Linked DNA regions of Lytechinus pictus. The main gene of each other region encodes a partner of the protein of the gene in region 2 in a complex. Links are inferred from orthologs where the notes say so. Each region holds a gene or a part of one and is shown on either strand. Other genes may lie near its edges. The genes, in order: exosome complex component RRP46-like, exosome complex exonuclease RRP42-like and exosome complex component MTR3-like.

What was found.
Region 1: exosome complex exonuclease RRP42-like (region 2) and exosome complex component RRP46-like share a complex: the UniProt entries of both Homo sapiens proteins name them as parts of the RNA exosome core complex. The link is inferred for Lytechinus pictus from reciprocal best matches to the Homo sapiens genes EXOSC7 and EXOSC5.
Region 3: exosome complex exonuclease RRP42-like (region 2) and exosome complex component MTR3-like share a complex: the UniProt entries of both Homo sapiens proteins name them as parts of the RNA exosome core complex. The link is inferred for Lytechinus pictus from reciprocal best matches to the Homo sapiens genes EXOSC7 and EXOSC6.

The regions. Positions count from the first base shown.
Region 1 is NC_087251.1:26,027,155-26,037,830, reverse strand, and holds the start of exosome complex component RRP46-like, read right to left. Parts: upstream 4,578-10,676; 5' UTR 4,534-4,577; coding exon 4,434-4,533; intron 3,804-4,433; coding exon 3,682-3,803; intron 635-3,681; coding exon 494-634; intron 1-493. UniProt on the Homo sapiens protein: Non-catalytic component of the RNA exosome complex which has 3'->5' exoribonuclease activity and participates in a multitude of cellular RNA processing and degradation events.
Region 2 is NC_087246.1:61,515,850-61,526,712, reverse strand, and holds the start of exosome complex exonuclease RRP42-like, read right to left. Parts: upstream 5,102-10,863; 5' UTR 5,049-5,101; coding exon 4,953-5,048; intron 3,493-4,952; coding exon 3,379-3,492; intron 2,296-3,378; coding exon 2,116-2,295; intron 1,160-2,115; coding exon 1,020-1,159; intron 1-1,019. UniProt on the Homo sapiens protein: Non-catalytic component of the RNA exosome complex which has 3'->5' exoribonuclease activity and participates in a multitude of cellular RNA processing and degradation events.
Region 3 is NC_087245.1:11,453,432-11,463,675, reverse strand, and holds the start of exosome complex component MTR3-like, read left to right. Parts: upstream 1-5,453; 5' UTR 5,454-5,702; coding exon 5,703-5,792; intron 5,793-9,875; coding exon 9,876-9,933; intron 9,934-10,210; coding exon 10,211-10,244. UniProt on the Homo sapiens protein: Non-catalytic component of the RNA exosome complex which has 3'->5' exoribonuclease activity and participates in a multitude of cellular RNA processing and degradation events.

The DNA.
Region 1 (10,676 bases), on a different chromosome or scaffold from region 2:
ACAGGGCCTCTGTTAGCGCATTGTTAGTGTAACAACTTATCTAGGCGGTCAGTACAGGTTGTTAGAGCTGTAACATAGGTGAGATGAATGCTAACATATGCAGTCATACTAACATGTGCGGGAATGAATAAAGACAATGATGTTATGCTCTAACCAATAACAGGTCTAGAGTTAAGACTAGACGCCAAAGCCTCTGTCAGTCAGCCACAGTACATAGTGAATCTAGACTCACTATTTCAGACTCTGCATTATGCACTGTGCAAATTGCGAAAACCAAGGGTATGCCTGCAGACTAGATGTTCTCAGCGATGTAAATGTAACCAATTTGCGCCCAGAATAGTTGCATTCATGTCACTTCACTTTATCATAATTTTCAACAAGGCAATCTGCCTGCTGTATATATATATTTTTGGTACAACCCATTGAGCCCCATGCTAGAACCTATTGAAAATGTGTATTATAACATCAAATCAAATGGAATAATCAGACATACCTTTGCCTGTTCCTTGGTTGGATCAACCACAAGGTCCTCATCTTTACCCATCATGCAACAGGAAGCTGCGACAGTACATTTCATGGGGATGCCTGCGTTGATCATGGCCAAGCAAGCTGCGTTGATACAACATGCTAACAGCTAAAGATTATTCAAAGTCAAGAAAAATACAGTATTCAAATCTTGGTATCTAAATTGTAAAAGTTCCCTGATTTTACAAAAAAAAATGTTAATTTCCAAGACTTATAAATCTGAGTAATTCAAACTTCTTAACCTTTTAATTCCCAAAATGAAAATAGGGAACATTTTGATAATTTTGTATTTTGAAAGATACAGTACGGGGCATTTTCACCACAGATGGACACAGAGGCAAAAAAATCAAGTTGATATTCATGTCAAATGCTTTATGTTTTTTAATAATACAAGACCTGTAGTTTCTGGGACAAATTTTTTTTCCGATTCTGGCAGCCATTTAATTTTCATTTCAAAATGGCTGCCAAAGTAAGGATACAAATTAGTGTTAAAAATAGTATATTGATACATATTTTGTTTTGACAGATTTTTAAAGAATAGGTTTGACCATGTTTTCGCCTGTGATTTAGCTTGCTATTATAACACTTTTTAAAATCCCATAGAAAGAGACACCAGTAATTCATTTATCTGATAAACAAACATTGATGAAGTATGTGATATGGTATGTAATGTCAGTTACCAAAAAACATGAACTCTTTTTTCTCATTTCCCAGAAAAGAGGATATATTACGGGTATATGAAACTTGGTAGATTTCCTCTCTAGGTAACACCCCTCCCTTCTACACCAAAATTAAAGATTACCAATTAACAATCAAGCCATAGGGTACCATTAAATATGTGTAACGTCAGTTACCAAGAGGAAAATGTAATGTCAGCTACCGAGATGTAATGTCAGTTACCATGATAAAACGTTGGTTACCAGTAGTGAAATGCAAATGTGTGGTCAATTTTATGGTGAAGAAATATTGTATACTTGTTATACAGTAGTCTTTCACTTAGTTTAAAAGTCACACCAGAAGGAGCTTGCTATTGACTTTTAAAAGGTATAGTTCACAAGGAATACTATATAAAATTATGAAGGAAGTTGCATTCCCATCGTGCAAAAAAAAATTACTATGAAATTGTTTTGCGTATGTACATGCACTTACCAAGTACCTAATTGTTTGTATCAGACAATTTTTTTTCTTCGTTTTTCGGGGGAGGGGGTACTTTTCCCAACCTATTACCTAAATCTGCAACATTTGATAAGCTTTTATGAATGGGGGTTTCCAGGGCCCGTTTATTAGTTTCTAGGATTCTTTTGAGCATTGCCGGGCTAAAAGTAAATTCCTGGTTTTTATACCTGTTAGTAGTGTGGATGTGTGATACAATTTTTGTTTTTGGTTTACAAGTATAGCTGAAAAGTGAAATTTGACAGTTCTGATTAATGTTGCATGGATCTACTAAAACTGTGTTTTTTTTTTCTAATTTACAAATAGTTCAGTTTCAGTTTAGAAGCTGGAGTTTATTTTTTGTTGACAGCTTAAAAAAGAAATTAGCAAAGAGAATGATTAAACAAATTATGAAGAGAAATGAAATCCGACAGATATGAACAAGCATTGCTTGCACTGACCAGAATAGAAATCAATAACACTGCATGGCTGCATAGGAGACCCTTATTCATTTCGCCTTTTTTGAGGGGAGGGGGAGGCTGGAGATGGAAAAGGTTTAAAAAGTCAATATAAAACTGATGAATATAAATGAGTGTAAAGTCAGAAAAATCCATGTGTACAGTCAATACAAAATTGAATTACTATAGGAATACATGTAGCTGCTATGACCCCCCCCCCCCGAGTAAGTAAAACATACATTTCTTATCTTTTGACAATTAAAAATGTGAAGTATTATGAAACTTTTATGATTTTAAAAAGCCTTACATATAAGTACCAAGAGAATTATGCCTTTGAAAATCATATAGCACTGGTAGATGTTCATGTGTAATGTCAGTTACCGACAAGTAATAATAAAATATTCAAATCAAAGAAAATTAATTAAGAAAACGAAAAAGTTTTTTTTATTGAAATGTTCCTAGAAACTCACGTATACTTCCACATCAAGCTCACTTTCATGTGAAGCCCTGGCAAATTAAGTGTAATGTCAGTTACCAGCATGGTCGTGGAAAAATTATCATAGCCCCCAAAAGACAAAAGCAAATTATTTAATATTTTGACACGTCTTAACCTAGTAACAAAGGTATATTCACATATTCAAATTATTACTCTATCTACTCAGGGACATGAGATCTTTCAATTTTACTGAACACCCTGAAATTGCATGTCCTTTTTGTGTAACGTCAGTTACCGACACATTTTTGCTTGCTGATGCGTTACAAATGTGGTTACAATGAAAAACTTAGTATCAAAGTATACAGCAAGGTTCACTTTATTAACTCTATCAAAAGCAAACTCCCATCATTTGTTGTTTTAGAGATACACACAATGAAAGGTGTGTAAAATTGTGCCGTGTCACGTCAGTTTCCATGAAAATGCCCTAAGGAAAAGTAGATACATTGTTTGTGGAGATTAAATCAAAAGCAAATTTAAAGAAATGTATGTTGTGAAGAAATGAAATACCAATTAATCTGATCCAATTGAATACGGTTTCAAATAATCTATTATCCAAAAAGTTTATAAAAATCATTGTGATCCTGCAAAATAGATGGAAAGCAGGCTAGTAATGAACAGATGGACCAATCTTGGAAGCATTACAGGAACCTTGTTTTCAAGTTCTATGTTCATGCAATTAAAGCCACTAGAAAGGTAGCCTTGTCCACATGTGTTTAAAAAACACATTACCTTAAAATAACAATAATAGGGTATTTGTATAGTGCACAATGTTCTGTATTCTTAAGTCAAGTTTGAAATTAAATGTGCAAAATTTGTTTACATTGTACAATTCTTTTGTTTACTGTGCTCTTTTCCCATTCTTTAATGGTAATTGAAATTATTTCAGTTATTCTTTTAAGAAAATTATCAATTATTTGAGTAAGAGATGAGCTGGTAAATTGACCCTGTACTGTTAGAGATTTGTGTCACAATTGGCTACCCATCGTTAAATGAGAGTTTAAATTCTACTGGAGTTCAGATCATGACCCATGTGTGTCAATTTAAGGATACAGCCCCTGCATCTTGGATCTCCTGGATGATGATATCAACAGAAGAACGTGGGAAGAGTGTGGTCAAGAGGACCGTCTCACAGGTATTCCTGATCATCCTCTCCAAGGCTTTCTCTCTTACACCTGATGAAAAAAAAAACCACATCATACGATCATGATGAGTAATAATTAATGTATTTGAGATTATAAATAAGATGGCTGGGGTCTGTTGAAAGTATATATTGAGCACCTTGTCAAAAGGCTATACTGCATCTTTTAGCCAGAATCTAGCTATAATCCAGCTATGCAGCTTTTCATAACTTTCTGGTGGTGATTTTTGATGAAATGCGATGATTAGCAATGAAAGTCCACTTGCAGGCTTCGTGCAAAAAAGGCCCCTTTCACAGGTTACTCCTTCCTACTGCATATGTAATACAAGGCCACTACATGATCTCCACGTAGCCTTAACTTTCCAAAAAAATGTTATGATCTCTTAACAATAATGTATGATTGAAGTATAGATGATGAGGAAACCACTAATCAGTCAATAGCAGTATGTACTACATTTCTCCTAGGATGTGTAAAAGAAATATAATGAACAAAGATACAGTGAAAATGAAGAAATGTGCTGAAAACTGTATTCATTTACAATGCACGCAAAATTGAATGTAATATTGTAAAACATTTTATTAAGTATTGACAATGAAATGTGACCAAAGCATTAGTTGGAAAAGAAAAAAAAAAGGAAAAAAATTGATTGAGAAATTTCTTTACCTGCCATTCCTACTTTTGGTTTGTATGTAACTGTTACTGTTGCCTTGTCCATGAGAGCCTTATTTGGTTTGATATCCCCAGGCCCATAAACTGCAGCCATTACTGATGTATCACCTGCAGTACAAAAACATCGAAGGAAAAAGAATATCTTGCTCAATGCCACTTAAAATGACAGCTAATCACATTGGCAATTATATATGGATTATGTCTAGAAAACAAAAAATGTTCTTGATATCTTTAAAATCAAGTGGACGTTGTAACTCTGGCAGCTCTGCTACTCGAAGTAGCAGATATCTGAATTTCTTGTGACTCAAGAGCTATGTTGTATCAACCAAAAGTTCACTAAGGCCCGTATTCTGAAGTTGGGTTTAATTTAAACTCTGGTTTTAAGTTGTGGTTTAACTATGGAAAGTCAGTTGTTACTTAATCTCCAACAGTAGAGGTTCAATGTATCAGCTCATTTGACTCCCAAAACATTTTAACTGCCTGGGAAGGCATTAGATAATTAGTGAAGAGCACACTTAAAATGAGAAGCATTCACTGTAAACAAAATTTTGAAATGTTTGGCTTCACATAATTTTAGCACGGAGTTAGACCATGGTCTAAGTTAAACCCAACTTCAGAATACGGGCCTAAGTATTTTTTCCCAGTCTTTAGGGTAACCAATTATGTGTGACTGATCCCTATCAAATCAGCTTATAAATAAGCCTTTGCAAACCACAGCCAGTAAAGGATCAGGGGTCCGTTGCAGAAAGAGTTGCGTTTAAACGCAAGTCAAAAAATCAATCGCAAGTCCAAAATGCGCGCTGTTGATTGGTTGAAAATCAAGTTGCACATGATTTTTAGAGTTGCGTTTAATTCAACTCTTTCTGCAACGGGCCCCTGTTGCTTAACCTCCCCAGATAAACAATGATATTCCAGAATTAAAATCTGTTTCCTATGAGATCATGAGTACTGTATTTGAGTCAAAGTGTTCAACTTTGACCACAAACATTGCAAGAACACCTAAGATCAAGGATCTTGAACCTCTTGTAGATCCTTTAAAATGGCATTTCAAGTCCAGCATAATAAGATGGATCCAAGACTGGGACACACATTTAAAAGTAGTATTCTATTATTGTACATTGTAATCGTTTTTTGTTGTAATCAGTGTATTATGTGTTGTATGTTCTGTGTAACCAATTCGTTTTGTAATGTTGTTTTGTTTTTCGTTGAAAAGGCAGCACCTTGCTTGACATATATGCAAACTTCTTGATGCACTTCCCATATTATCTTTGTATATTAATATTGGAATATCTAAATATAAATGAATTGAAGTACAAGGAGCCAGCATCTAGCCCTGCCTTTGATCCATCAAAGATTAACCTCAGCAACAGCAGACAAGGAGAAAATTCAGAGAAAAACTCATCAATCCCAAACATGGACCCCCAAATTGTCCAAAAGAACAAATCAACAGTGCATAACACAAAGACCAGGCCTTTCAACCTGCTGCCAATAGAGAAGACTTTGTAATGGTCTCTCTTAATATGAAGTAATTTTGAGTATCCTCCTTCATATTGTTCCCTTAAACAATGTGATTACAACAGAAGCACTTCTAAAGTTAGGCTCATTAAAGTACGACCAGCCAATTACTCTTTCTTGCAGATCAAGGACACTGATGAATCCCAATTTGATAAAGAGGTGCCTGAGAGCAAATGCAATATTAAAGACTCTTACTTGTAGATCAAGGCAATTGGCGATTCAAGATAAGATACAAACATGCTGAGAGTCGAAGTGAGTGAAGCTCATTAACGTATGACCAGCTAATGACTTTTACTTGCAGATTAAGAACACTGATGAATGCCAATTGATACAGCCTGAGAGCAAATGCCAGGAAAACAGAGGTACTTTAAGTTTGGGTCATCCAAGTTACACCAGTCGATAATTCATACAACTTGCAATTCAAGAGCAGATACATTTTTTTTGTATTCCATGCTAATAACAAGTGTAGCATTTCTAATGCAAGGGTCGTTAAAGTAAATCCGGCACATGACTATTACCTGGAGATCAAGTCTGCCAAAGACTCAAAACCTGCAGAACAGGATTTCAAAAATAAGGATTAAACAACATCAAACAACAGTCATTTCATTAGCACAAGTGACCCCCTCCCCCCAAATGTTTTTTTAAGAACATGGACCTCCCATTTGTCCACATGAAAAGGTCAATGGAGCAAAATAAAAAGACTGGCCCTTTTCACCTGCTGCTCAACTCCCCTAGATACTTGAAGTAACAAGTTATCTTTTGCTGGTTTGGGTTTTTCTTTAGCAGTGTAAATGTAAGTGAAATAGAGCCAGAGACAGCATTAGTCTGCTAATGAATGAATGATGAAACTATGAATTGGCAAAATTTGAAATCAACAGTTTGAAAAATGTCTGTTTTCTCATTAAAAAAATGTTAGTCATTGAACGAACATGGAACGAACCATCAGAGAGTAGATTCCCAAAGTCCACCAACCTTTGAATGAATCTAGATGCAACTAGAGTCCTGAACTTCATTAGGAGGAATTTTAACTTGTGCACTCTGTTCATTAAAGAACTGTATTTGTCCATTGTAAAGCACCATGGAACCCTTACACTCAAAATAAGGTTGACACTTGACTGTTTTTTTTTCCATCTGTTTAGCATTAAAAAAATCTTATTATAACTGCTATTAATTCTACATCTGAGACAATACTGGAAGCTAAACGGGGATGGGTATCCAGGATATGTGGAAAAGGTGCTAACCTCATTGCCATTCTGAAGGACTAGAAGAAGGCACCACAGCTCTGAGAGTGCATTTATTTACATCCTACTAATAGGCCCATTTGTATAGTGCAACCAAGTACTGCAGTTGATATTTGTTTAACCAGGCTGTAGCTGATCACATCACACACACAAGCCGTAGGTTGAAGAGAACGTAGGCTACAATACATTTCCAACAGCAACATACAACTTTGGACTCCTTGCAAATTAATCTTTTTATATGAACTCTACATTAATGGAATGAACTCTCCCCTCTGACAACTGACTGTTGGCTAGCCCGCAGAGATCTACTTCCCCAAAATACACCATTCATTCTAAACTTACCATTCTCTCCAACCAACCTCTAATAAAAACTCCTCTTGGATTACTTTTTTTGGAGGGACAATATAGCAAATAACCAAGTACAAACTTTTCACAAGTTTTCCTGACATGGAAAAATTCCCTAAAATATTAACCTTCAGCAGATGAGCTAACCCCTTAAAAATACTGAATACATCACTACTGGGCTGAGTAAGCTACCTCTGACCACAGGTGATGGTTCTAGTAGTGTAGCAGTCCAGGGCCCATTTTATATTGGACTTGCAACTGTTGTAACCATAAATGGCAACTACCATGGTAACAGGGCTCAGCAGCCAATCAGAATCAAGGTTTCCATGGTAGTTGCCATAATGGCAACAGTTGCAGGTCTTTATGAAACAGGCCCTCAGCTCTAGGTAGATTACGCATGGTTTTAATTGTCTGGCTTGCCCATCGGCCCAACGATTACGTAACGAGCAACATTATCTTTTCATGATAAAAGATAGTAATAGCAGTGTTAGGTACGCCACTGATAATTCAAATCTTCATCCAAATCTGTTGAAACTTACCTCAACATAAAGACAATGTGTCACCCATTACGATGATGCATTGATTAAGACATATGATGAAGAATAACTCAAGTTATGATTAAAAAAAAAAAAGATTTCTAAGTATTATCCATTCCGAACGAATTGTCGACCATCGAGTATCAATCACCACCCCGCATGCGCATTCGGGGATTGCCAATTCGGGGCGGAGATTTTACATCGCGCATAAACGCTTCTCGCGGCATGGTGACGAAGCGTAAGTGCGCATCATTTGTGAATGGTCATTTTCGCGGCGCTCATAAATATGCATGTGTGTTCATGATACGCATATATCGGAGTATTTTGTTGTTGTTTTGCAAGGCACAGTGTGCAAGACGATTGATTTGAGACTTAAAGTTAATTTCACATGTTTTAACTAGATTATCTGAATTACAGTGCACAATTACGACATGGAAGACCATTGGGATGGATTTCAAATATAATATGTAAGTGAGTTGATAACATTTGGTTTTGCATCTTTCTTTTTTCAAGTTGTTTTGAGAACGAGAATTTTTTCTTTCATTTTAATCATCATTTCTTGTTTCTTGTCTGTCCACCGCAATTTTTTGTAGTCCTATGTTACATTTTCCCCTTCAGTACACTGATGCTTGAAAGTATGAAACCGAAAAATGCACCCCCCCCCCCCCCCCCCCCGCGTTCATCCTTTCTCTCGATCCCTAACAATAACAAAAAGGATAATAACATAAGCTGATACTAGATAGAGTTTTGACAAGTTATTAAAGTCGTTTTTTTTTTTTTTTTTTGAGAGAGGTGGGGTGGGGGGGTGATGTAATTCCCATTTTCCCCCCTCATTTTTTGTTTTTATTCGTGACTTGATATCCTTGCCTTTACGTGATTTCCTATGCATGCTCAATCCTTGAAACTTTACATAATTTTGAAATATTTTTACAGATCCATAGTACACCATACAGAACTTTTTTTAAAGGAGCTAGTCTCAAGTTTGTCTCTCTGTTTTGTTTCCTTTTCTGTGAGTTCCTTTCTTCTCATTTTGTTCCTCTCCTGTACTAACTTTACAACCATTTGCTTTTGTTTTTGCTCCTCTAGCCTCACTTTTTCCCAATTTCATTGCATTCATTATTTTGTTTTCTCTTTCATCTACAGGAAATTTTTGTAGCCAGGAGGCTGTATCATTTGATGAAAACATCAGTTTGGATTCGACCTTACCACAGAAATGTTAGGGGCCCTATGAAGCATTGCATCCGCTCTGCCAAACTGCCTCTCACCCGAGATATTTGTAGAACTACACGATGCACTTTCTGCAGCAAGATCCAGCTAAAGTTGTGATGAACTAGCATATAATAGATTTCTTATATTCATAACATTCATCATTCCAGTTCTTAATTGATATTTCAAAAGTTTAATAAATCACTTTACATGCATTTAATATATTTCTTATATTCATATCATTGATCATTCCAGTTCTTAATTGATATTTCAAAAGTTTAATAAATCACTTTACATGCATCATATTGAGCTGTACATTGAATCTTGCCTCATCTCTACATAATACCCCCCCCAGCAATAAAAAAATGAAAATCTAATAAAACAATAGAGCTGCAGGCAGTAGCGTACCTAGGATTTTCCACAGGGGGGGGGCAAAATCGTCTGCCCAAAAATTTGACAAGCAAAAAAGTCTTCAACCACAAATAAAGGATTTCGTACCAGAAAAAAAAATTACAAGCAAAAAAAAAAAAAAAAGGTCCTCAACAGGTTATTAAGTACATTTCGCACCAGAAAAAAAATTACAAGCAAAAAAAAGGTCTTAAACTTCAAAGGAGGGGGCCACCGGTGGCTCATCAGGGGGGGGCAGGGATACGTCCCTTGCATGGGTTGTGACTCGTCGGGGGGGGGGCAGTCTGCCCCCCCATAGGTACGCTAGTGGCTGCAGGTCCACCCACCCATCTGTATCAACCATTACCTCCAATGAGAATACCTAATTTTAAATTTCATTGAGCAACTTCATTAATACTGTTAAAATATTCAATTTATATTTTTATGTGGAGTTAATTAATGTAACCAATGCCAACAAGGAAAAAAAATAAAATGAATACTTTCATGTGTCAGTGTGGATTTGTCATTTCTTTTTTAAATTTATTTTAATATTCAGATCTGTATGTGTATCCTTTTTTAACACTATGTTCCTTCTCTTCTCTACTGCATGTGCCAAATAAATCATGAAAAAATTACATAAAGTCTAAATAAAAATATTTAAACAGACATACAAGAAAAAAAGTGTTAGTTTGGGGTGATAGAAAATGTTAGAAGACAGTTGGGGGGGGGGGTGAGATAAATCAATTGTTTCTTTCTTGTCCATTTAAAAGCTGCAATTCACATTTGTGAATAATTAAGTAGTTGGTAGAACAATTCCTGCTTAAAGTTGCAGTCTGAATGGAATGCAGGATCGCCAAGAACAAAGCCCAGAGGCAGAGGTGGGGTTGGTTTTTTTAAGGCGGCATTTCCATCACGCTTTCTTGGAACCACAGATATTCGACGGCTCAGCGCAAGTCTGTTCATTGTTGGGCCCCTCGACTTCAGATCAGTAAGTATTGCCATGCTCA
Region 2 (10,863 bases):
GCGGCGCCTATAGTCTCACTCTGCTATGCAGGTGAGACAAAAACTATGGTAGGGGAAAGAAAATTTGAATACAATTTTTCAATATAATACAGTGCAAGATTTCTTTTCTTGGAAACTACCAAAACTTGTTTGCACTTACATTTTTTTTTCTCTGTTTACATTTGCCATTTTGCACATGTATACATGTAATAAGATATTTTTATCCTCAAGATAAATCAACAAATTAAATAAACAGAACTAAAACTGAGTAGGACAAGGATGACAATCCCCTTTTCAATGCACCCCAATCTTACAGCGGCTGTAAAAGAAAAAATCCCATTCGGCAAAACAGATAATTAGAAGAGAAAAATGTTTGCATTGACCCGAACAACCATAGTCAGCCCACTCAACTTTTATTTTCTTATTGATATTTGACCCCCCAAATCAACAAATCTGCGGACCAACCCCAATATTTTCGCGAATTTTTCTACATTTATTTTATTTGCTTGTTTTTTTTCACAAATAAAGTTGTTGAATATCACCATGGAACAATGTACAGAGGTCTCATGATATTTGATCCAGTGACAATTGCTTCATTCTAAATTCCACACACTAATCGAATGACCAACTTCAACCCTGGGTTTAACACTATACCCTACCATAAACCTAACATAAACACCCTATTGCAACCCTAACCCTACATCTTAGACGAAATTAAGCCTGGAGCAATGGTCACAGGAGCAAATGTTGTGTAACCCTAACAGAGGGCACTAAGGCTAGTAATGGTAAGCATATTTGACTTATGGACGATCACAGCAAAAACTCCCCATTCAAAAACTGACATTAAAAAGTTGTCAAATAAAGAAAACTAGAGAGAGGGGGAGGGGAGAGACTGTTTTGTTCTGCTCTGATTCAGGCATGCATTAAATTCCCCTTGGACACAGGGGGACATTTTATCCACATTTGACATCCAGCAACTTTCCTTGGTTTTTTATTGGCCAAGAGCCGATAACTTTCATGAAACAGTCCCCATTACATACCTTGTATTATAGAGAGCTGCTTTAACTGCAAGAGCAATAGCATCGAAGAGATTTCCTCCACATTCCAGCACAACTATATCAGCATAGAGTGTCCATACACATTGACCAGCTATAACACACAATGATTTGTAGTCCAACATCTGCAAAAGATATACCAAAGTGGAAAATAAGAATAAGGGGTGCTGCAATCATGTGATGGGGACATTTTTACAAAATCAAATTGCTGCAATTAATTGCAAATTTAATGTTGATAGCAAGATTACTTACACACAATACGTAGTAGCCAAAATATCAAATCAGAATTAAAAGCGCGTTGTAAGAAATATGCAATCAATTGCAAGGCTATTTTCTAAACAAATCAATCATAATTCTTGTAATCGATTTCACATTTAATATCGATTGCCAAATTGCAGCTTGCAACAAAAGAATGGTGAATTAGGCATGGATTACTAGTACAAGTTTCCTGCAGCAGCTTCATGAATAGTCTTTTATTTTGCATATATAGCCACTTTATTTACAAAATAGGATAAAACAACTTTTACAAAATCCAAAATTCTATTTGTTTGAAAATGCATATTTGACCTTCAATTTACAGGTATCTCACAATGTAATTGAGCATGAAATTGCACAGAACTATGGCTGGCCAATTATAACATGGGTTGTAAGTATCTTTAAAAAAATAATTCTGGAGTCATATTTTGTTAAATCTGTAAATTCGTGACCAGGGATTGTGACTCACAAAAATCAATTTTAGAAAGCTGTACATCAAATTCATAAAATTGATAAATTTAGATTAAAACTGATTTAAGTTGTAAGTGAATCACCTTCAGCTCCATGATAACCTTTAAAAGGACAACCATGAAAACACACTATAGGATACTTGGCTCGCTAGAGTTCATTAAACTTTTCTTTCATTTATAGAACACCCTTGTTGATTTGTAAATAGTCTATAAATTGCAATATTCAGATATTTAGCCTGATCTACAGACAAGCACAAATATCTCCTGCGTATGTTATTAAACCTGTTAACAACCTCCATTACACAAAATCTGATTTTTCATAATGAAATTAACTTTTGAAGATGCTGTTGTCCTACCTTTTCATTTTTGTAGACAAGCCCGAGCATGTTGGATATCTCTCCTGCCAGCTCATCTCCGCCCCGCCCGGCAAATTTGGGTGATGCGTTGGCTGAGAAGTCTACAAAGAATTCTATTGTGCCGCGGGAAGGATTTAATTGATTAGGTGGTCCCATTTCAGCTTTAACACCAACTAAAACCTTTCCAATTAAAAACACATTAAGAAAAAAAGTGACAAATTTAGAAAAAAAGTGTTCAAAATAAAAAAGATAGGGAGGAACATAAGTATAACGCCAAAGATAAAGGATCTAGGTGGATTTTTGACTGCATGCATTCAAATATGCTTCTTTATTTGCAAGATCAAGAATTCAAAATGCATCTTACTTCTGAAATTTTCAAATAATGACCTTTGCCACCTTTGACCTTGTCAGTATTTGAAAACACAATGCCCCCAGCACCCATCTATGGTGGGTGAAAGCATAAGAAAAAACACCAAGAGAGCAAAGGGTGGAAAATTCTGATACATTTATAATGATGCAGCATCACACTATCATGCTATTCAAATTGCCAATTTTAATAACCTGGAAAATTTAGTAGGAATTTCGAACATATGTTTTGATAGAAATTCTACTTAAAACAATTAACAGACAAGCGTTTTTCAAGTACAACTGAATCTTTGAGCCATCAGTTACTATGCATGATTTTGGTCAATTCTCTGAGCACAAAGATTATACTTCATTCCATTTAATTTCATTCAATTGAACAATATAACACCATGATAGCTGTGTGTATCTCACACAGCCAAACAAAGATACTTACCATGTTCAGATTACCCCCCCCCCCCCCCCCCGCTTACTGGGACAGCCTGCGGGGATCTCTGTGTGATTGATCCAGTCATTTAAAATTTTGATGTAAACTTCCTGTAGCGTCTTTGTGATTCAGCCAATCACTAAAACATGCCCACGAAGAAATGTGTAATAAGCTGGGAAGTTTTTTTAATTCCATCTCATTTCCATTTGTCTTTCTTTTGTCATTTTGTGACTTTGTGTCCAATTGACGTGAAGGGCTACAGCCTCTCTGTGATTGAGCCAATCTCTTAATTATTGTCATGTGCTTGGTAAAGATTATTGAATGTAGCCTATGTAAAAATATTGTTCATTTTGACCGAGTGGAATCTGTGCAGTGCCTTTGTAAAGTTTGATCAGTTTCTTTTGGAACCCAGTTTAGGATGAAAGTACACAAAGCAGGAATAGCCCATTTGGCAATTTACCAGTTAAACATACCTGTGTGTTTGAAAGCTTCAATCTTGCAGATCCACTTGTGTTGGACACTACTCCACATTCCAATTCAAAGTTTCGATAAGACAGGCATGTCCTCCCATCCGACCGCAGGTCATCCTAAAGGTAAAAGAGGTAAAATAAATCCTAAAAATTAACTTTGCTGATATCAAAGTGAAATGAATATTTAGCATTGGTCATCCAAGAGGGTAAGAGATCCTAAAATTTCTAAATTCATATATGTGGCTGAAAAATATGCCGGAATATAGCGAATTTCGATGACAATATGATCAGGATCAGGTTCTTTGACAGCTCGATCGCCGTCAGCTCAGCTACAGCTGAGTGTACGAAGTGCCAGCCAATCCGTTCGCTCAGCTGTAGCTGATGGCGATTGAAGAAGAACCTGGCTGATCCTGATCTGTTTGTCATCAAATTTCGCTATTTTCCAGCTTATTCTTCAAAAAGGTGGTAGGCTGATTATATTTGATATAAATTTATCTTTATGATTTCTTCTTTTTTCCCCCATCAAAAAGCAAAATTTAGGAGTAATCGAGGAGTGCAAAAGCGCTCCCTTTCTCCATAGTCCCTGTACTAGTAGTAGTAGTAGTTAAGCAACACCAACGGTTATTTGCGGTAAATTGCTCCAGAATCCAGGCAAGCCGTCGTCCGTCTGTGTAGGACAAAAAAAATCAGAAAATGTTGAAAAACTCCTCCGAAACAGCGGATTTATTAGTCTACTACAGACTCATTCCTGTCAACACAGTTCAAACAAGGTGATTGAATTGCAGACTGTGCAGCTGTGCCTAGCCTGGAGGCGTCTGGGGAGTAAAAGTCATCTACTCTACGTAGGCTTACTCCCCACTGACGCCTGGGTCGCAAAGGTATATTCACGCACGTACGGCCACAAAACCTGAAACTTTCGCCCCCGAGATTTATACTTTCCCTCTAAAAGATCTAGCCCTAAAACATGTACATGGGGTTCAACTTCATTTCCAACATTTCTGCAATATTGATTTCGTTTTTAAAGAAGAATTCATTAAAAAAACGAGAAAAATGTTATGAAAAGATGGGAAGAGCTTACGGCCGTGTTTACGTCGCCATCTTGATTTCTTTGTCTTCCGCTTGGCGACAGCATGCAAATTGCGCGATTGCGTGAATATACCTTGGCGACCCAGGCATCAGTGGGGAGTAAGCCTACGTAGAGTAGATGACTTTTACTCCCCAGACGCCTCCAGGCTAGCTGTGCCAGAGTTAGACCAAAAGCTTCGGTCTCTGTTATGTTTAAGCTTGTAACCGATTTTGCAATCGGCAACCGATTCCATTCGATTTCACAACAATCGGCGATCACTTGCCGATCTTCGATCATGCCCCTTGAAGGAAAAAATCGGATATAAAAAATCGGCATACCTGTAGATCTAGTTACAGTGCGGTCAGAACATATTCATATGTATAATATATAAGATTGTTCTTGCGGAGGTGCTAGCTATTTAGAGCTTTTTTATCGAATAGTTTCGAACAATCGAGATTCCTGGAATGTCAGAAATGACTCATAAAAGGTTGACCTACTTATGATGACCTACCGGTAGCTGCGCTGACTGGTATGGTGGGAGTGGAACTTGGAATGAATGTATTGTATAATACAAACAATGAACATGTACTTGTACTGTGTTTGTCATTTATCCCGCCCATGAGTGCACACAATGGCCAATAGCAATGGAGTTTGAGAGCTGTATGTGACTGCATGGGTGCATGAATGTGTTGTACGCATTATGTATGCTAGTGCTTATGCTGATAAATCCCGCCCATAAGTGAATACAATGGACCAATAGCAAGGGAGTTTGAGAGCTGTGTGTGACTGCATGAATATTACATGCATTATGTATGCTAGTGCTTACGCTGATAAATCCCGCCCATGAGTGAATGCAATGGACAATAGCAATGGAGTTTGAGAGCTGTGTGTGACTGCTTGTGTTGTGCGCATTATGTATGCTAGTGCTTACGCTGATAAATCCCGCCCATGAGTGAATACAATGGACGAATGACAAGGGAGTTTGAGATCTGTGTGACCGCGTGGGTGCAGGAATGTATTGTATGTATTACGTACCTAGTGCTTGCGCTAATTTTTGTCATAATCCCGCCCATGAGTTCACACAATGGACGAATAGCAAGCGAGTTTGAGAAATGTATATGCATGGAGCTATTAACAGCTCTATGGTATATGAATGCTGGGGTGCGTGGATGTGTTGTATATGCTAGTCAATGCCATGCTTAAATCCCGCACATAAGTGCACACATGGCCTATAGGGACGAATAATAGCAAGGGAGTTTGAGAGCAGTGTGTATGGATGTGTTGCGTGTTTTATGTATCATGTAAGCCATACTTGCAGTGATATATTGTCATTAATCCAGCCAGTGAGCCAACTCAAAGAATAGCACTGTTAGCAGTGTCAATCAAACCCACCACGTGCACATGCCAAAAGGTAGTGTAAAGAATTTTGCACTAGCCCGTTGAGTCTGGGCGGTTCCAGTTCTCGGCTATGCCTCAAAACTATCTTGTATTGTGTGAATGCTTGCGCGCATTGCGTAATTCACTGATATTGTTGAGTGGGTGAGTACCGGTATACAAAAAGATTGATACTGAGGCGTGACTTAACTTTTCCCAGAACTGATTCGGAGAAATGATGTACCAAGTAAGCTATTATAACAAAATGGGTGTACTTTGGAATGGTTATTGGGCGTGGCTGTAATCACACATCATAATGAGCGAACTTAGCTGAGCTCAGCTTCACATAAAAATACTTATAAAAGATGTCCCGCCGATCGTTCATTGACATGTGATCTACGACAATTATTTTCCTTTGCGACTTTGCTCGGAAGATGCGTCATTCGTTTATCTTTCTAATAAAAATCACTCATTTTATTGTAAAGCAGTTAAACCTCAAAACCCTTTCCTTTAAAAGCATGTTCCAAACGATCGCGCATGTCGACGACTTCCATTCCTAAACATTCGTCTTTGTGACTTTGTCAGGAAGATGCGCGCGACCGCGAACAAAATTTTGATGTATTCCTTTGTTTTTAAACATCGCCGATTCGATTTCGATTTTAGAAGCTTAACTGCCGATCCAATTTTCGATCTGATTTTTGATCCGATTTACAACATTAGTTATGTTGGTTGTTCAGCTGAACTCCGTTGCCGTTGGCTTCACTCACCAAATACAGAGACCGAACTTCTAGCGCGATCTGTACAGGCACTCATTCAATGAACAAGGTTATGATATAACCTTGTTCTCAGTTACATCTCCATGTGTGGCAAAATAAGGGTGGCAATTTTGGCTTATTTTCTCTTTTTCTGTGGGACAAATGCTTGATTTTTTTACACTGTCAGTTTCCGATACATCTATTCCTCATATAACTTGGCTCTTATGTAAATTTGATTCTTTAAATTATTTTTTCTTAATTAAAAATAGAGATTGAAAAATGAAAAATTTCTTGCCATATTACTTTCCACCTATAGAGGGCGCACACAAAAATATGCCAAAAATTCAAGTTTTTGAGCGCTCTGGTGAACACAAAAATTATTCCCAAGTTACTAATTAAAAATAAATTGCAACTGTATGGAAATTAGTAATTTTGGTAACAAAAGTGATATTTTAATGATTTTTTAAAGTATGTGCTATGTACAGCATTGGCATACCATAGTCCTACCTGTAGATTCCCCACAGGCAGGATGGTTGCAGTGAACAAGGGCCGATTGCACGAAAGGGTCTTTGCAAGGACCGTCTTTCGTGTCGCCCATCTTTTATGATACGCCATGTGAAACGCATTTCAAATAAATTATCTGCAAATATATTTTATTTGTCCGTTAGAATAAACAAAAATATTTTTTTATAAAATGATGTGATAAAAACTGATATCTCATGAAATTGTATAAAATTTGATTTAAAAGCTAGCTTACGAATTTTATTTGTTTATCATAAATTTCAGAAACACCCCGCTTATAGCGCATCATAAAAGATGGGCGACACGAAAGACGGTCCTTGGAAAGACCCTTTCGTGCAATCGGCCCCAGGTGTGTACCACTCTAGGCGACACCCCAATACTTACCCGTGCTAATAAACTGGGACTCCACTCACGCGCATTTGGGCCGCCCTAGCTTAGAACTAAGCTTTGTTTTACTAAAAAATAAATCTTGTAATGATTCAATAAATGTTACTTAATAAATTAGTACTGTTAAATCGGTACTCACCGGTTCTTTTCTTGAATTTTCTGGCAATTTCCCACGCTTCTGGCTTCAATTCTGCGGCTGTTCCTGTCGCGATAGACAACTACATATGCAACTTTATTCATAAATAGAGCGCCCCTTACGATAGTTGTTAAGAACGCGGCCAAATTGTTAGGTTTTTTGCACTGTGTCCAAGGCGTTTTTATTTTGTTTGATTTTTTATTTTTAATAAATATTTTGTTAAATAGCGATTTTTACGTCAAATATTAAATTCATATCACAAAATATTTTTAATTGTAGAAATATATATAATATCATGCAATTATTCATTCTATATATATTTTATAATAAAATTTATAATTGTTGCGGTCTTTAAAAAAGGATAGTCGATTGATCAGGTGATGACCACACGTATCACGTGATCTGAAAATCAGCTTCATACCGCTTTGATCGCACTCGACGGTGACCGGACTGACTGCCAAAAAAAGATCGAAAAATGACTCAAATGTAAGTTTCCCTTTATTTTATTAAATTCAAATTAGGAATAGGAATATATTTAATGGGCAATCTTTTAATAAATGATAAACAAACGAGGACAAAACTCATATTTTGGGAGTAATATCATACTTGGGTGCAGGAAACAGTACGTTTAGAAGTTCTAACCTGTTTTTAACGCATTGTCGCCTATGAGGTCCATACATGTTAATGTTTGGACCTCATTGGTACTAGGAGTGGTGTGTACAGGGGACTCAATCGTCAATGGCCATATGTTTATGTGTATTAAGTTCGGATAAAACAGGGCAGTGAAGTTGCGCGACAGCCGAGGTAAGTCACTGTTTTTGTTCCTTTTAACTTGATTTTCCCCGTTTTTTGGCAATTAATGCCAAGAGGGAATATTAATTTGCATTTCGGTCGGGTTAATTTTCATAACCACTCTAGGCGACACCCCAATACTTACCCGTGCTAATAAACTGGGACTCCACTCACGCGCGTTTGGGCCTCTCTAGCTTAGAACTAAGCACTAATATCACCTTAAAAACTAAATCTACAAGGTATGTATAATCTATTTATAAATTTAATAATGTTTAATCGGTACTCACCGGTTCTTTTGTTGCATTTTCAGACCATTTCTCACAATTCTTCGTAAATATTTGCGGCAAATTTTGTCGCCATAGACAGCTTAGCGTCCATCTTTATTGATAAATGGAGCGCCCTTTACGATAGTTGTTAATGCCGCGGAGAAATCGTTCGGCATTTTGGCCTGTGTTCAAGGCGTTCTTTCTGTTTTATTTTTATATTGAAGATTGTGCATTTGTTGAATAGCGCCGTCTACGTCAGGTATGAGATCGAGTGTATAAATACACTCTTCCAAAATAATTATGATTCCGACCTGGCGCTGTTTAACTTCAATCTCTTTCACCTAAATTAGCGATGAATGCTAGCATTATAAAATATATATTATTAACGTCTGACGAAAAGAATAACCAACCGATCAGCTGACGAGAACGCGAATCACGTGATCTTCATATCAGCTTCGATCGCGAGTCAGAAGAGAGGAGCAGTTGCCCAGAAAATCAGGAAAAAGCCGTGAAAATGTAAGTTCCCCTTCATTTCTTTCAATTTTTTTTATTGCTAACAATGTATTCAATTAGTGAGATCGAAATGTAATGATTAGACAGTACGATAGCTTGTAGTTTTGATAAAATACAAAAATAATCATCTTCACAAAGATTTCTGACACAAAATACTACTGATGTCGCCTATGAGGTCCATACATGTAATGTTGGACCTCATTGGTACTAGGAGTGTTCATAACAAAAGTTTGATTCATTAAACTTTTATTTTTTAAAGACAAAAATTGAAGAGCCCCGACAGGGGGATTTTGCATTGTAAGTCCCCTAATGGTGGCTGCACAATAGCGAGCCGTCTGTGTATGAGGAGAAACTTAAAAAATAAAAAAATGTTAAAAAACTCCTCGAAACAGACGGCTGCCAGCTGTCTATGCCAGAGTGTGAGCTAGAGAAAATTACAAACAGAAAAATCAGCGTATGGGACTGAACTAGTCTCATATATCAAGACAAAATAGACAAAACTTGAAATAAAATAACACGGAATATTGGACAGTAAATTACCACTTACCTTAATTCCATGTATTATAAATGTCTTTTCACCTTCTCCCAATTGAACTGAAGCCATCTTAGGTCAAAAATCTAAAGAAGCTACAAGAAGAGTCAAACTTTGTCTTTTGACTGTTTGGATCGGTCTCAGCACGAACAACAGCGACGGTAAAGTGCACGTGCAAAAGTAAGTTACGTAACCCGGTACGTGTCGTAATAGGTCCATGATATGATGCAGCCAGCCTGCATGCATCGGCAAAGACGTTTAGTGGGGGGGGGGGGGGGGGGGGGGCACGGAAATAAAAGGATTCCGTGGGGGAGGTGTACACCTGCCAGATACATCTCCTTGAGGTCAACGTATATTTTTGTCTCAATACTACTACCCATTCTCACCAAAGTCGTAGACAATTTGATTTTCACATGCCCTCCGTCCATACTACTTTTACTAAAAAAACTAGAATATGTATTCAGCCGGTCCCAAATTATATGGAACTCTCTTCCCCCTACACTTAAAAATAGTTTATCCCTTAATAGTTTTCAACGTCAGTACAAAGTAATTCTGTTAACAACGTCCGCATCCAATAACAACTAAGTAATAGTAACATGAGTAATCTTTGTGTTTGCCCTTCTCCTTATTAATTCTCACTAAATTTCATCTGTCGATTTTCTGTGACCCTCCACATACGCTAGTCCTTTAAAGTGTTTGCCTTTCTAGGAAAATGATAGAAAATAGGTAATTACCTATTTTCTATCATTTTCCTATAGTTTGCCTTTCTAGGAAAATGATAGAAAATAGGTAAAAATTACCTATTTTCTATCATTTTCCTAGAAAGGCAAACACTTCATTTTAACTTTATCAATGTATGTTTTTCCCTTGTATGCTTTTGTCTTTGTATGTTCTATTTTGTATCCCTTCTTTTTCTTTCTTTACTGGGCTGGAACTTCTAAGATCCAACAGATCTTTAATGCCAGTCCCCAGGCCAGTCCACACTCGAGCTGTTTTGTACACTATTTACTGTATTATCATTTTTGTTACTTTGTTTTGTTCTTGTCATTATGTATTTCTTATTTACCTGTATATGTTATTTTTATCAAGTGAAATAAATCTTGAAATTGAAACATTTCAGCAGAAGCTTAACATTTGAATATTCT
Region 3 (10,244 bases), on a different chromosome or scaffold from region 2:
TTATATGCATGTTATGGTGCTGACTCATGTGAAAATTGGTTTCCCAGATCGATTGTACATAATACAGTCAATGTCTTTTGGCGGCCATTTTGAAAGTCAAAATACAATATTTAACACAAATATGAAACCCGAATAATATATTTCGTTGCAAATTATATTTGAAGACAGTATTCCACTAATTTACCACAAAAAATACGTTTTAGTGCTCACCTTGTGATTGTTTTTGTCCTCTCTCACATCGTAGATCATGATTTTAGGGCCTTTGGCGGTCATATTAAATATAAAAATACAGGGTTTATCACATACATGGCATGTTTAATAATATATTTCGTTAACAATAATGTTTTTAGTCAGTTTTTCCACTCGTTTATCTCAACAAAATGCATTTTAGTGCTCACTCTTGTGATTTTTGTGTGTCACCATTCACATTGTACATAATAGTGTTAGGGCTTTTGAAGGCCATTTTGAATATCAAAATACAGGATTTATCACATAACTGGCATAACAAATGATATATATCGTTAGCAATCATGTTTACAGACATTGCTTCACTCATAGATCATAATTACTTGCATTTCAGTGCTCAATTTTGTAAAAATTAATTTTCCCCATTTATATTGTACAGGGGTCTATGATGGCGGCCATTTTGATATCAAGAAAATAAATATTTTGACAAAAATCATTTTTCCAGATATTATTTCACTCCGGCAGCACAATTGCATGTACTTTAAAGCCAATGTGTGGACAATTTTATGACTTTCATGGGTAATTTGAATATTTTGGCGGCCATATTGGATTTTGCCAATTTGCAGAAAATGCTCAAGGTTACACGAGTGGCATCATTCAGATTCGGAATCAGCACCCTCGAATTGACAAGAAACCATACAAAAACATTGTATATATAAAAAAACAAGGTTCGACCCCTACTATCCTGGACTAATGCGTTATTTCATGAAGCTAAAAATGGAATTATTCCATGGACCATTCAAAAAAATATTCTCTACAATTTCAAAATAATTTACTCTGCAGTGCTGCCAAGAATCACGAATATTACCCCAGTTTGAATAAATGGTAGAGTGGTTTTGATTTTTTCTTCACATAGATACTAAGCATTCGGCGCATTTTTGGTGTTTTAAAAAGCACATTTGCTCTAATAAAAATGCTGATAGTTTAAAAAGAAGCACATGAACCCCTATTTTTTAATGTTTGTACCTCTTAGGTATACCTTCCTCTACAACTCTGCAAATTTTTGTGAAAATGACATGGATTTTGAATAAAGTGCAGCATTTATTGTACGTTTGTAGTTTGTTACTTAAATTTTACATTTTTTAGATTGGGATTTTGTTATCTTTTACGCCATTTTTAAGAACTGACAGTGCTGTTAAACTTAAAATTGCAAACAAATAGCATTATAAATAGATTCTCCATTCTAACGATACAATTATTAACTCTCTTGCGAAATTTGATGACTTTTTCATGTATTTTGACTGAGTAATATAGGTTTAAACTCATTATAGTAATCTTGGGCGGTCTAAAAATGCCAAATTCTTTTGAATGCGCAATTCTTAATAACATCAATTTGGGTGAACTTTGAAGCTCTATAGCAAAAAATCAAGCACATGGACCTATGTTAATTTTTGCATATTTCGAATATTAAGGTTCTAAAATATCTATGTGCAAAGTTTGGTGAAAATGACATGGATTTCACTTTAACTGTGGAACGTCCTTAAAATGTCCCTTTTTCTGATCTGAATGTCAAAAATTTTCAGCTTGCGCTTCACGCTCGCATCATTTGGTTAGTGAAATACGCATGGTCTTCGTGAATTCCTACAAGCAGGCCTTATAATGCCCCCTCTTCAGGTCTAAATTTTCAGCTCGCGCTACGCGCTCGCAATATTTGATTAGTGAGATGCGTATGATAATTATGATTACAATTACTACAAAAAATGCGTCATGTGTTTAGATGTAATTCTAACAAAATCAGCATGCGCTTGGCACTCGCATTAGATGACTATGGTGAGATATGTGTACTCTTAATGGATTCCTTAAAAACATAGTCCTTAATATATCCCAGTTTGGGGGTCAATATATACAAAAATTTCAGCTCGCGCTTCGCGCTCGCATCATTTGGTTTGTGAAAAACGTATGATCTTCGTGAATTCCTACAAAGAAGCCTTAAAATGTCCCTCTTTAGGTCTGAATTTCCTAAATTTTCAGCTCGCGCTTCGTGCTCGCAATATTTGATTAGTGAGATGGGTATGTTAATCATGATTACAATGACTACAAGTGCTTCATGTGTTTAGATGTATATTATTCTAACAAAATCAGCAAGCGCTTGGCACTCGCATTAGATGGCTATGGTGAAATATGTATACTCTTAATAGATTCCTAGAATATAGTCCTTAAAATGTCCCTGTTTGGGGTTCAATATATACAAAAATTTCAGCTCGCGCTTCGCGCTCGCATTGTTTGTTTAGCGAGACAGGTACTTATTATGATTACAAAAATTTGCTTATAATGTCCCTTTTTAGGTCTGACTTTCAAAAAATTTCAGCTCGCGCTTCGCATTATGTGATCAGTGAGATACATATCCGTTTAATGGCACTGTCCTTAAAATGTCTCTATTATGTCAACTGGTAACCGAGCGCGCTTTGCGCGCTCTCTAAGTGACTCAATTTTTTTGCTGGTACCCCCCAATGCCGTGACCCACGGTACGCCACTGATAGAGATTATGCTATAGATTGTGTTATCCATCGTCTAAATAAGATAATTAATAACAACAAAAATATTTATCTACTACCTACTGAAGTCCTAAGTAAAGGAAGTCTTGTGCGGTAAAGGACAATGAAACCATTAAAGCAAATTAGCTCGTGTAAAAGCATGAAAATCAAAGAAGGATCAACGAAGCTGAGCCAAACTGGTCAAGAACAACATATTTGAATGTCATGATCACTAGTGCTAATCGTGTCGTACATCCAGGACCCTTGGGACGATTTTTAATAGGGGTTTGGAAAAAAACAAGCAAAAAAAAAAAAAAAGGGGGGGGGGGTGATTCGCTGCAAAATTAGTGATTTCAATGTTCACATTGTAACGTATACGAATCTGATTTCCAGGGGGTCGTGCTGCCTATGTTGTATACCATACGCAGTACATGTACCTTCAACAAAAATCTGGCTTGTGTCATCACATCGTATTGTCGCGTCGGGTCGGGTTTTCACGAAGCCGGACGATTTGAGAAAAGCTAGGCCCCTAAATTTCCGAAAAGTTAGAGTCCAATTACCCGACCATTCGAGAAAAGTGCATCCTTATTTCCCAAAAAGGTCAGGTCCAGTTTACCCGATATTTTGTGAAAATTATAGTAAAATTCTAAAGTGGTCGGGTGAACTGGACCCGACTATTCGGGAATTTAGGTGGCCCTCACCTTTTCTCGAATTGCCCGACCGACGTGATAACTGGATCTGTGATGGAACAAGCGCAAAAGGGAGCAAACTGTCATTTCCAGGAGAAAGCTAGAAGAACATAATACACGTTTGGAACTTTTTTTTTCACTTTAGGTGCAAGAATGCACCCATCAAAAGAAAGTGCTTCTTTTTTTCTTAGTGTACATGATAAGCTCACGAATGATAGGTCCCATCATATTCCTCCCATTGAAATTAAGTTACAACTATATATTTCCTCTATACTTCTCATTTATTTGTAATTTAATAAATATGCATTATTGTTGTCGGATTTAAAATAATAATAGACAGTTCTTGTATATAGCGCATATCACATTATGAATAAAGACTGTATGCCCGTCCAAATGACTTGAATATTATTACCCCGGCTGTAGTTCATGCAGCCTTCCAGCGATCAGGGCATTTCGAGGAATAAATTCCTGCCAGGTACCTATTCACCTCACCTGGGTTGAGTGCAGCACAATGTGGATAAATTTCTTGCTGAAGGAAACTACGCCATGGCTGGGATTTGAACCCACGGTCACGACCCTCTGTTTCAAAGTCCGGAGACTAATCCACTGGGCCACATTGCTCCACCTATGTGAAATAAATTTCAAACAATGATAGGCCTAATGAAAATGAATTAAATGAAGTAAGCCTATACGATAAGTAAAAAAATTCCATATTTCTAGACCACTATTTCTGTCGAATAGCATATGTTTTTAATTGTGCATTTTGAAATCCTACATCTATACAATTAAGGGATAACGACATAGTTTACACTTTATGTACAGACATTGAAAGTATTATATAAATAATATTGCTGAAACAAAAATAATCGCTGGTTGAAATTAACTTAGATGAACATAGAATTGACGGGCGAGCGCAGTAAGTAAGCAAAAATAAAATCCCCATGATTTTCCTATGCTGAGAACAACCTAGACGATACTCAATGGCATTCATCTATTCTGTTCAGAGTTAGACAATGTCACAAATGACCTCTACTATCCAAAGATTTTTTTTAATGGAGAAGTTTGTTTTAGGCCTACTTATTTACATCAGACACTCACAAAATAACAAGAAGGTCTCGAAAATCGCTTTCGTCTCTCAATCTCTTTCTCTCACTTATAATTTCATTTATACTATTTATTATTTATAATTATTAATATTGTATCATAATCACTTTGTCTAAAGTTACTGTCACTCATTCGTTAAAACGTTTACATTCTGTAAAGTTTCCGTCCCCCCCCCCCAATGTTGCTGTATATGTATACTCGTTTTGCAAAATAACTGAAACCATAAGTTACAGGGCTTGCCTCTCATACCAGCATGGCATTTCTTGGTGTGTCCTCCGTTCTATTTCATTTACTTATCAGCCAAAATCATTTTAGTTCACCTCAATTCAGTTCATGATTTCTTCTATTTTATGTATCATAAATTATGATATTGAACGGAAAGTGAATAAAACTATCTCTAAATCTAAATATTCCAATAACCGATTTCAAAAGTGAATATCTCAATACCTGGATATCATGGAATGCATCACGAGCACATAAAAATGAGATATTCTATTCATCCGCTTTTTTTAGCCAATGAGGCTCGAAAATTAGAAAAGTCTAAAGTGAGTGTTGCTTCGGGTGAAATAATCCTCTAAGAATATAATGTCAGTAGAATCTAGATTTTCTTACAAATGATATATATTTTCACATATTCAATTTTTCTCTCCAAACTGTTCATTAGCATATTAATAACTCTCAAAGCTTTTAAGGACTTTTAGATGACTGCAATGCACTTACAATCAAAATGGCATTTTTTTCATTTTTGAATGAAGATGGGGAGAAAGAATATAAAAAGCGGAAGAAGAAGAGGAGGGAGAGGAAGAAGAAGAAGATGCTTCAGTTTTGATGAATTAAATAAGCATGCATGCATACAGTGCCCTTGATTCTGGACAAACGGCAATACAGTTGCAATTTTTCGCCAGGCCTAAAACTTAGGACCAAAGTGTTGTTCCGGGTCACAAATTTTCGATAAAGACCTCCCATGTTCTCTGTCATTTGACGGGCATATTTAATACATTTACTTTGTTTTTGAATCCTCCGCACATCGCTCATATTATGAGCGAAATGCTTTTGGTGTTTTCCCTATTATTTTGCTCAGCTAACTTTACCATATCACTGCACCCACGATCCTGAAATTTTAAACGAGGTTGACGAAGCTAAGCACTTTTTCCAAATTTAATATAAATTTGAGACATAACTGTTAAAAATGCCGACTGACACCAAGCGCATTCAAGGACCAGATGAATCGCAAAGCACCTTTTTGTATAAGAAACGGACTGATAAACTGCATCAACCGGTAAGTAGAGATCAAGAATCCCTTTCTATTGACTATTCTAACGTCACGGAACCGCTCATCTTCATTAATCATTGGCCGTGACTGCCGGCGTGGGTAACCATCGGAGTCGTGGTGAATTTTCAGTGCAGTTGCAGTTCGCCGCGCCGCAAAACTAATAGGCCTACTAATAGTAAACTTAAAGTAAGGAAACACCCGTTGTTAAACATTTGATAATGATATAATTGAAGAAATTACAGGGAAGCCAATTACAGTCTACAGATTTCAAGCACTCTGCAATTATTCATGGCAATGTCGGACTCGGAATGAAAAAAAAGAGAGCTAGAAATAGAATAGCTAGATTAGAAAGTAAAAAAGGGGCCTAAGCTTTCGATCCTAGCAGAATCTTCGTCGGAGGCAAAATGACAAACATATAAAGTGGAACAACCATAATATAGACCACAAACAAGCTACAGCAACACTAGAAACAAGGAGACAAAAGGCCGGGGCATTAGTGAGTAGAGAAGACCAATCGGGTTAGTGAAGGGGATGAAAGAAAAGGAGTAGGCAGACACAAAGGGAAGTTAGTGTAAGTAAGGCCAGTAAAAGACCTCAAGCCAGGAGGGATTAAAATAATGAGGCAGGCAACATCAAACAGGATCTGGAACAAAACAGTGATAATGGGATGAAAAACAAGAGAATTAGTGAGAGGTGGGTCAAACAGGTTACAAAGAAAGGCTTAATAAACTGGTGCATAAGAGTGGGGGAAAAAAAAGAAAAAGAATGGGGAACAACTGATAATGTGCAAAAGACATATAAGTATATATGATAAAGCATTAAACAAACTAAGAGAAGAAGGTAAGTGTAAATATGTATCTATAAGTGATATGTATATAAATATATCCAAAAAAGAAATGTATATGAAAAAATATATAAATACACATATGGTGTAACTGATATTGTAATCCGCTAGGTGTGACGGGAAAAAAACATAAGACTATATAGTAGGAAAAAAAACAAACAAAAAAACCTGTATATGTGAAAAAGAGGAAGCAAATTGCCTAAAAAGGTAAAAGCAAATATAGAAGAGAGGGGGTGTATTATGAAGAAACCATAGTATACATGTAAATAAGCAAATGTGGTAAATCTAAAAGAGGTGAGTGGAGAAAAAACAAATATATATATATATATATATAATAATTATTATTATATCGCCTGAATAAGGAAGGAAAAATTGGAGCTGAGCTTGTATGAGATATGGGAGGAAAGTAGAGTAAGAAACTATAATGTAACTATTCAAAAGAGCTGAGGGGAAAAATTATATGTATATATAAATTGAAAGTGGATAGGAAAGAAAAATCAGTCGTTCCCCTCTTGGATGTTCAGGCCATGAGGTTGGGTGGTGCGAAGTCGTTTCATCCAGAGCTTCTCCCTGCTAGTACGGACTGAGTCAGGACGGGTACCTAAAGATTCGATGCCCTGTAGCATCATGTCAGTGATGGAGTGGTTGGGGAGGTTAAAATGGCGGCCAACTGGAGTGTCCAGCTTTGCTGTGTTGACGGTGGATCTGTGCCCATAGAATCGTTTCTTGAGTGTGGTCTTGGTTTCCCCTATGTATTGTACCCTACAAACTCTGCAAGTGATGAGATATACAACATTAGTGGTAGTGCATGTGATGTTGCCCTTGATTTGGTGAGACAGGCTGGTAGAGTTGCTGGTGAAAGTATCGCCCTCGTGAAGGTGTATTTCACATATGATGCACCTGTTGCTGGTGCATTTGAAGGTGCCATGCTGTATGGGAGAAGAATGGTTAGTGAGGGAGGGCACTTCAGCACGAACAATGAGGTCCCTGAGATTCGGTGGGCGTCGGTATGCTAGAAGGGGAGTATCGGGAACGGCCTGTTGGAGACGATCAGAAGTGTGTAAAATGTGGTGGAATAGCTAGATGATAGATCTAACTCTAAGTTGATCATGAATTTGATGAAATGAATAATTTTTTTAATTTTGGTAGCCAAGTCTTATAAAGTCCAAGGCCAAGTAGACCAAAAAGCTTCAGTCTCTGTATTTGGTTGTTCTGCTGAACTGCGTGGCTTCTCACCAATACATAGACTGAAGTCAATGGAGGCCTGTACGTAAAGCTGTAACTTTTACTTTAGCAGTAACGTTAGATCTAACAAGTAACATTCGGCAAAAAACCGATTTTCAGATCGTTTTTGTACATAAAATATCCCATTTACAAAGAAGAAATTTTACATCCAACTTGACAAAGAAATATATAACATTAAGAAATGTAATACTTCAGACCGCAGTTACCGCTAATTCCCTTCAATTGATAAAAACATAGTCATCCTCGATCCTTTCGTTGGTCATCGTAAATTGCCATCTTGAATGACGTCATCATCCTTACAGACGTCTTTACCAGTCGCCATATATCATGATTTATGCCGCTGCATAACGCTTCTCGGAATTTGTCGCTCCCATATCGAAAAGTCTAATCGGATAGCTTTGATAAAAGACTATCTCAACGAACGTTTTCCCTCTCCGGCAAAAAATTTGTAAAAATAAGGAATAAATCATCAGCAACATATATTTTCTATCTTTTATTTCATATTTCGTAGTATCGAAAGAAAGATTAGAGTCTAACGAAAATAGTGCGCAATCGTTCAAGATAATGTAATATCATTTAGACCTCAAGAAAATAAAAATATAGACAAAACAATATAGGCCCGAATTGGGAGAAATGATTACACATGAGAGCTCGCACTTACGTACTTCCGTTGGTGAATGGGGATGATAGTAAAATGTCAGAAATTGTTGAATAAATCCCCAGAAACAACAGTTATTCCTGTCTAAGCCCAAGGCAGGAGCACTATGATATTTCTACATGTATGATAGACCTAGATCTATTTGTCTTTTCATCAAGGAGCCTAGACACTGGCCCTAAAGACCTGTGTGTCGAACGTGGTAAACAATGATGGAGTTTCCTAAAAAATCCACCACATTAATTTTGGAAAAACGCGGAATAAATCAGGTTTTGAAGCCTTTAGTAGGACCACAAAATTTAGAAAGCTCTGAATTTGTAAAAAAAAAAAACACAAAAATAATCTTCAAGTCCTAAAACATGATAAAAATTACTTAAAAGTTACAAATGTTCCCTATAACTTCTGAAAAAGTAGCAAAATAGATCAAGTTTATGTGCCAAAAATACATATGGTACCTCACTGTACACTCCTTACTGTAGGTTAGTGGCCAAAAATAGTCTTTATGCTGCCCTGGGATTGTGTTCTCTTCCTGGAGGAGACGTGGAAACATCACATAGATAGACCATCAACTCGGCTGCCAGAAAATGTGAAGATACCACTAATATTCTTATTGCGTATAAAGGCTTCACTTCAGAAAAAAAAGAAAAAAAGAAATTACAAGGTTTCTTACCAGACTGATCGCTTAATTGCAGCTACAAAAATGCTTCCACACTTTATAACACAGAGGCATGACCTTTGACTCGTTTTGCGATGATGTAGGGACGATGAACTTGGTGTGGAGGCAGTGTTTGTAACACAACAAATTATTATTAAACAAATAATTATTATTTGCATACGATTCACATTTTAGAATTATCAATTTTTACATAATTACTTACAACTGAAATGTGAATTGTATACAGATAATTATTTGTTGTACGGATTCAACCTGGGGGACTTGTTATAAATGTAAGATATATATGTGCGGCGGTTGAGACCCCCATTTTCAATCTAATTTTTAATCGATTCGGAGACCGCTGATTTGTTCATTGGGCAGAAACATCATGCCCGATTTCATGCATATTCATGCAATGCTCCGAAACACTGAATTTGTGCTGTTCCAGAGCATTGCATTTTTAGAAATCGTTGATCCTAGAGCAGTTACAGAGACCCCCATTTTAACACAGAACTTGAGTTCCAGAGCCCCCTAATGGGCCCTATTTTCATTTTTGGTGCGGCACATAGGTATCATGTTATAATTTGAGCCCCCCCCCCCCCCCTCCGGGGAGTACAATCTTGTACTTTCTAGCTAGAAATTGGCATTTGATACCTTCATGTTTCTTGTTAATTTTTCAATTACCTGTAGCTTCTAGAGGAAGGAAAGCGACAAGATGGAAGATCACCTGAAGAAATCAGACCAATATGTAAGTATTTGTTTTTTATGATGTTTGTATTTAAGCTTGGAAATTTTCAGAATATCCAATCAGTGAAAGCATGGTTGATATTAATTGTCTTATGGTCAGAAGAATATAGACCATACCTCTCCTATTATTATTAGAAACTGACATCATCACATAGTTAATTCTGATTATCTTGTATTTTCCTACTTCTTGTAATGTTTTCTTAAGGTCATATACACTATTGTGTAAACACTTACTATGTCTTCCCACCTACCATTTTTCCCTCATCTTTGATTTTCAGTTCTCAAAGCTGGGGTTGTTAGTCAAGCGAAAGG